Linked DNA regions of Drosophila melanogaster. The gene in region 1 interacts genetically with each later gene. Each region holds a gene or a part of one and is shown in the gene's direction. Other genes may lie near its edges.

Evidence for each region. Genes that interact genetically often act in the same process or in processes that back each other up.
Region 2: of neur (region 1) and eff, changing one suppresses a phenotype caused by changing the other (phenotypic suppression), as found in Drosophila melanogaster (one study listed by BioGRID).

Annotation. Positions count from the first base shown.
Region 1 is NT_033777.3:9,032,114-9,035,868, reverse strand, and holds the start of neur (neuralized), read left to right. Parts: upstream 1-2,137; 5' UTR 2,138-2,419; coding exon 2,420-2,690; intron 2,691-3,755. UniProt on the Drosophila melanogaster protein: Involved in neurogenesis. Interacts with other neurogenic proteins in the specification of the neuroblast versus epidermoblast cell fate.
Region 2 is NT_033777.3:14,739,720-14,743,474, reverse strand, and holds the start of eff (effete), read left to right. Parts: upstream 1-2,155; 5' UTR 2,156-2,468; intron 2,469-2,534; 5' UTR 2,535-3,071; coding exon 3,072-3,095; intron 3,096-3,755. Other genes in the region: jvl (javelin-like), read right to left, coding at 884-1,297. UniProt on the Drosophila melanogaster protein: Catalyzes the covalent attachment of ubiquitin to other proteins. Mediates the selective degradation of short-lived and abnormal proteins.

The DNA of each region.
Region 1 (3,755 bases):
TTCCAATCGATCCGCAGAAGTAGAGCACATCCTTATCAGCCAAGGCAACTGGCGCACGTCTCTTCTTTTTTTCGATTTTAACCTGGCACGTGGTCGGCTGGCTGGCTTCCTCTTTCTCCGCTTCGAAAATCCCTCTTCACCGTGTATCTGTGTATCTTTTGCTATGAATTTACACCTGGAATTGGCAAGCAAACAGAACGAAACCAATGGCAGGGGCTGCGCGGGGAAACGCACTACAGTAGAGCAAACCCTTTTCGGATCCTTTTTCCAACTGCAACCGCAGATGGACACCTTTCGTTGGTGATCATGATGGGTACAGTGGATATCGATAAGCGAAAAACTATGATACGCAATTATAATACATAAGTATTCATACATTTAAAAGAAAAAAAAGAAATGGTATCCTAAAAATAAGGTTGGTTTAGGGCTTGAAATAATATTGCAAGGATATTTACTCTGCATTTTTAATATTTCTACTTAACCTAAAGTCGATAAAAAATATTTCTATCCAATGATCACTGTATTCTTTGACAATTTTTGGGGTTGTTCGTTGGTCTCGATGTCTGCCGGTTCCTGTTTCGCCAACATCACCTTCTCCGACCTTTTTTGCATTTTTGCAAACTGAGCGAACAGGAGGGGGAAATCGGGTAAGCAGCAGCAGATGTATTTCCAGGACGCACGCCTGCTGCCAGGATGCTGAATATGCATTTCCACTTTAATATCAAAATTTAAATGCTTTCTGCCCCGTCTTGATCCCTTCCGATCTTGAAAATTGCATCTGCTGTGAGGTCTGCCCGGTTCCGTCTGTCGATGCAGGACAAAAAGGACGAGGATGAGGATAAGGAGCGCTCGGCGCAATTATCATCCTCCATCAATGGCAGCGTGGCATCCATAAAGGATAAAGGATGATCAGACGCCAGACGGCAGTTATCCTGCTGACCACAATGCTAAAGCTTAGCAAATGAGACCACAATAGCATGTGTCCCAGATCATAGGTACATTTTTTTAAATTCTGTGTAAGCTAATGGTTTCAAAACTGGGAATTGAGTTACAAACTTTCCATTTCATTTTATAATCTTTATAGTGCAAACTTAAAAAATCAAAACAAAAACAAATCTCGTTTCATATTCTCTATTAAAATAAATTGCACATACAAAATGGACAATTAAATGTGCCGAAAACAATTGGGAAAAGAAGAAATTTATTATTATTATCAAGAAACGTTTGGGAATTTTTTTTAATTCCCATGGAATTACTCCATACATACTCCAACTGAGTACATACATACACACATATGTATGTACGTGTGATATTTGGCCCACAAAGTTCACGATCAAAAGCATTAGGGCAATTGAAATAGTTTTCTAGTTATATGAGCCAGACCTTGTAAACCCTGCGAAAAAGAAAAAGAATTGCTTTGAACCTGGCTGAACTACACACACACTAAGGTGAGGAGAATAACTGTTAGTGAAGATCAGAGCACTATGGCCAAAATCCCAAATGCAGGCCTAGAGCAACAACAACAAGAAGCAGGAAGAGCAACAGCAGGAGAAGATGTGGAGGAATCCCTGATCAAGGTGCAGAGTTAGAGGCATAAAGGTAAATTATAAGGGAGGCTCTATACACGCGAATAGCAGGCACAAAGCGAAACCATAGTAAATAAGAAACAGCTGCCAGAGAGAGAAAGAGAGCGATGGCGTCTCATAATTTTCTCTCTTGAGCTCTCTTTTTCGCTCCATCCACGCTCAGGGCTGACAGCCCTTAGCCAGAAAATGGATAAATTTTAAATTATTTGAATAGATTGCTTACAAATTATAAGTTTAAATAAATTGAAGCATTTTTAATGTAATTTAGTTACCGTTTCTTGATTTTAATTAAATTGTAAAACAGGAAATGTTATTCAAATCTACAGCCCAAATTGTCACTAAACGTTAATAGTAATTATAAAAAACTTAAATTTCCAAATATGTCTTACTGGCATACCTAAACTTCTAAATATCTTGAAAACATATACTAAAAAAAGCCAAATCTGACGGGAGAATTTCTGCGCGCCAGTACTATCCGTTACTCTCCAGCTGAGCTGCGTCAGCGACGTCGCGCTGGTGCGAAGCTATAAAAGGCTGCACCACCGTTTATTTGTTGAAAAAAAACTCAGCGAAAGGTTGTCTCGAAGTTGTCGTCGTCGGTCTTTGTGTTTCGTATCGTTTCGTTTCGTTTGTTCCCGTTGCGCGCAGACAAACAACCAACCAAATTCAAAATGTTTTAACGGAAAACATTCAAATTCGAAGAAGAACTCTATCGCTTAATTTAATGCCAAATAAAATACGCAAGCAGCTTGTGCATTTTCATTAGCATTACGCGTGTTCGTTTAGTTCGTCTGTTTTAATTTAAATAACGAAATAAGAAATAATCCACTACCATGGGTCTATCGGATATACCAGCCAACTATATGCAGGGCAGCCATCCGCACCTAACTCTCCATCCGCAGCAGCAGCACCACCAGAATCAGCAGCACTTGCAGCATCTGCAACAGATGCAGCAGCTGCACAACGCCATGCCCACTCCCGCCCAGCAGGCCGCCCAGGTCCTGGCCATGGAGTCCAACGAGCTGCTCATGAGCACCAAGGACAAGCTCTCTAGCAAGAAGAAAATGCACTTGCTCAAGAAGATCAAGAAGCGCTTTGGATTGGGTTAGTAGTCGCATTAGTACCAGGCTAAGAATCGGGCTAAGGATATCGATGGATATATTAACAAGAATATTCAGTTAATTTCCAAGTCGTTTTTCAAAGGACGTACAATTCTCGGAATATCCAGGAATAATTTTTAAAATCAGTGTGATTGGGTTCTAAAGTAGATGTAGTACATTTTAACAATATAAAACTTCCTTCGTGATATCTGACCATTAAAGTCTTGAAGCAAATGTAATTACCGCGTGCGAAAATGCCTTAAATACATTATTCATCGATCTGGGAATCGTATTTTTATCTCCAGCGATATTCCCACATAATATTAGCATGTGGTCTGACCTATCGCTCTTTCATTCATTCGGTTAATTAAAGCGGCAAGATAAATAAGCGAGAAACACAGCCAGCCGCAATCATTTATGCATACATTAGCATTTTACGTCTCAAGAACAATAACAAATAACGAAAGATAAGAGCAAAAACCGAAAAAGTTTGAGTTAGTTTAAAACAAAAAGCTAATGAATAAATGCTCACCCAGAACACGCCCAGTTTGCGATTATAATAGTAATTGTTTTTTTCCGACTAGATAGACACAAAAGAAGCGCGAAAAAATCTTAAATGTGAAATTCTCTCAAGGCTTTTTCGGCAGAATTTAACATCGACACTCCGACTTTTTCGCCGGAAATGTCAGTTCTCGAAAACTGAATTTTTCAATCGCACCCAAGTAACCGCAAATTGATCGAGAAGACCAGATCGGAGGGATCTTGAGTTGAAGAAAATACCACCAAAAGCAATTTTCCCAAGGAGCGATTATGTTTATCATAACGATTATCTGGGCTGGGGAATTTGTTGCGCTGTTTTTGTTTTGGTTGCAAGCAGCTGAGCTAAGGAAAGACAAAAAAAAAGAAGTAAAAACAACAAATCACCTTTTTTTTTTGACTTTGGCTCAATTGCATTCTCGGCTTCAATGCTCTCTTTTTTGGCCAAAGCAGGCGAAGCAAAAGCAAAGCAAAGCCAGTGACGCATAGGCTAAGCTTCTACCCCTTTTTTTTTTATTTTTACTGGCCTCCT
Region 2 (3,755 bases), 5.7 Mb from region 1:
CTTTGGCGGTTGGCGGTTGGCTCATTAATGTCTGACACGTTTGAGCGATCACCGTGCTGCAGAAACTCGAAAAAAGGTACTGATATAAAAATATATAAAAAAAAAAACAAACAGCCCAAAAAAAACGCAGTGTAAACAATTTTTTTAAAGCCGCTCGTGATTAACATTAAAAACGCATTTCCAATGGAGATCTGATTCTGCATGCACCGATTTCCGAGAGGAACAGATAGGCGGACTGCGGCAGCCAAGCAGAACGTTTATAAATATAATACAGTAGTTAGTGGCTACAAACGAAACAACCAACCATGCTAAACTTACAACTTTTCTAAAGCTATATCTATTTGAATATTAGGTATCTAAATTTATAATCTGGATCAAGAACTCATTTAAGTATAACCACGGAGTTATTAGCGCGTTCTTCTTAGGCGGAGCTTACTGTTTAAACTATGAATTGGGCGGGAATTATATATTCAGATATGACACGACCCAAGTTGCAAGTGCAGCGGAAGTGATCCATTACGCAAGTTTAGAGCGGAAAGAGCGGTGCGATTGCTCGAAAAAAAGAGATGGCAGAGTGGAAGGTAGAAAATGAGTATTAAAACCCATGGGGGTTTTATTACAATTACAATTCTGTGACATGCCAAACGAATCCCTCGAACTGGAAACTCTCTGTTCCAACCAGAATTCTTTATTTTTGGTTTTCTTTTCCTGTTTTGGGGTTAAATCTAAATACATACAAATGGCATTATCAAAGTTTAAATAAAATACTACATTTTATAATACATAACTTAAAGGGGATATATTATATTTGATTGGCAATTATAGAAGTTCCTTGTTCTCCTAATATTACAAGTTTATCTGGTTCTTTGTGCAACAAACTCACCTTGTGGCAAAACGCGGCTGCCTCCTTGGCCACGCCTACTCCGTCCGCTGAGTGGGCGTGCGTTGATGGCGAGGTCGCGTAGACGAAGAGCGGTAGCGAGCTAAAGTTCCGTTTGTCCTGAAAGCGGCGGCTGAAGAATAACGGCTTGTGGCATCCCGCTGCAGCGGCTAGTATGTTTGTTGTTGTTGCCGTTTTCGTAACACTAGGTGTGGAAGCTACTGCTGCTGCTTCTTCTTGTCTGCGCGTATTTACTGTTGTTGTTGTTGTTGTTATGGGTGCTGCAGTTGTTGTGTTTGCTGTTGTTGCATTTGCTGGGGTCGCCATTGGCGTATCGCAATTTTCTCGTATTATCGCCGCTTCTTCCTCTTCGCTGCAAGTTGTTGTTGTCTGTGTTTGCGTTTTTGTTGTTGGCATGACTACAACTACAGCTACTATAAATCGAATATAAATATATCGACGGAGGCGTGGGCGGTGGCGGAGCTGTGGGCGTGTCCCTGCAGCTGCTGGCGTCCCTTATTGTTGTTTCTGTTGTTCTTGTTGTTATTACTTAGGACCTTGGCATTATCCTCCTCCATCTTTTTTGCTGTTCAAGAAGTCAGCGAAGTTCAGCGCTTGCCAAAACTGAATGATTAGCACTTGCACATCGTCGCGTTTATCTTGGCTTTCTTCATTATTTCTTGTTTTTCAAGTGCAAAAATATTGTACAAATTCTTGGGCCATACAAAAGTGTGAGTTCTGTGTAAAAATTCACAAAAAAATACGCACGAAGCCGATTGCGGGGGTGGGAGAGAGATGGCGATACACGAACGAGTTCAAAGGGCCGCCAAACTAGGAAAAACACGCCAACAAATCAAACAAAACACTTGCACAACCGCAATTCGATCAATGTCGAAGCAAAACAGCCACTAATATTAAGTATATTACTTAATTAACAAACACTTTTGTTTGAAATATTTTGCAGACAGTTAAAGTTAGAGCTGGAACCAAAATCGATGTTTATGCGATACTATCGATGTATAGGGTAAGAGGGCTGCATTGATTAAATTCAGCTACCGTCGATTGTTTTAACTGTTCATACTATTATAACGGCAGTTTCAGACAGCGGAAGCGCCATTTGGAGTAGTGAGAAAATAAAAAGTTAAATTAAATGAACCAGTTTATTTTGTTAAAAATATTTTCATCCTTATGATAATAAAATCTAAATACTAAAAATCTACTAACGCCTGTTATTCCCAAAAACTATCGATAGCACAACGGAAAATATCGACAAGTATCCTGAATTGGCACGTCGGCCTTGCCAGACCAGCGCTCTGGAGTGAATTTAAATTTTAAAATAACGCCCTGTCAATTCAGTTGTAGAACTCAGTAGCTAGTCGGAAAGTTTTCAAGAACTCGGATTACCAACATCTCAAAATTGCTCAGTAAAAACATTCCGGCAGCCTGCAACACGTTGGGTGTTAACAAATTTACATACAAGTTGCAAGCTTTTGGGCGCACGCACCATCGATAAGAAGGTAGTTCGAATAAAATATAACACCTCCTCGCTGCCGGTAAAACTATTTCTTCTGGCTGTTCCCGAACTAAAGTGAGTATGAAGAGTCTTGCATTGGCAATCAAATTGTAATTAACTGATTCATCCCTCACCTAAAAGGCGTTGCCACCCAATCGATCTGGCCACCCCTAGCGAAAAGGTCATATAGCTGGACTGCTCTGCTGGACTTCCGCTTCACAACACTACCACACGACACAGACACACCATTCCTCTCGCTCGGGCTTACACTTCGGTGTAACGATTGTGCTTCGTTGCGTTCTCAGCTCACTAACGGTCGTCTCTATCGCACAAACGGTCGAAAGGCCCCGCATTGATTGTGAAAAAATAATCGTCGCCGTAGTCTTCGTCGGGTCGCCGTTTTTACTTGCAGTGCGCTGGTGCTGCTTTATTTCGTGACAAGGGACACTCAACCGAAAGAGCCATATTTAAGCATCAAAGTTCTAGAGGCGCAACGCAGCTTTGTGTTTCGTTTTTCGTTCAATTCTAAGCAGGAGGATTATATATTGAATAAAACCCAATTCTGTGCGAAGAACAAAAGAAATACGCGAGACACCAACACCAGCACACAACCAACCAAACACACACACAACCAACCAAACACACACACAACCCAGAAAATCAAATTTCAATCAGAAAATGGCGTTAAAAAGAATCAATAAGGTATGTGAAAAAAGGAATATCTCAAAAAACTTTGCGAAACGGACTAAAAAAAGAAAGAACAGAACCCTTTGCGATACACCAAAATGATAGTCTAAAAAAAAAGCGAACAGACATCAGTTTTCAACGGGAGAAAAATTTTATGCAAGAAATGTGAAACGTAGGTAGTAACCGAGGAGAAGAAAGAAGAAGCGGGGGGAAAGAAGCGTGCAAGAGGGAAGGGAGAAAATGAGCTGTGGAGTTACCATTTAATTAATAAGTTAGTAATTAGGAGCAGATTAGAAATTTTGAGGGTGGTGAAAAAGGTATAAGGATGTGTGTGTGTGGTGGGCAAGGCAACGTGTAGTGCAGTCATCGCTTCCGTTACTTTTGCGAGAGTGTGGGATAAGTGTGTGTGCGATGCGTGTGCGTGAAAGTGCAATGCAAATGTGCATTGTTTGTGTGCGTGTGTGCCGGGCACCTGGATGCATTTACATTAATGCAACTATACGGCGGAGTTTTCGCAGCTCTACGGGCGCTGTTACCCAATACACGCTGTACACGGCACTCGCACACACTCTCAGCCTCGCAACAGTCACACATAAACGCACACACTGCCAGCGCCGCAGAAAGATCCAGCAAAAAATAAAACAGAGCAAAAGCAAGAAGCGTATAAAATTAACC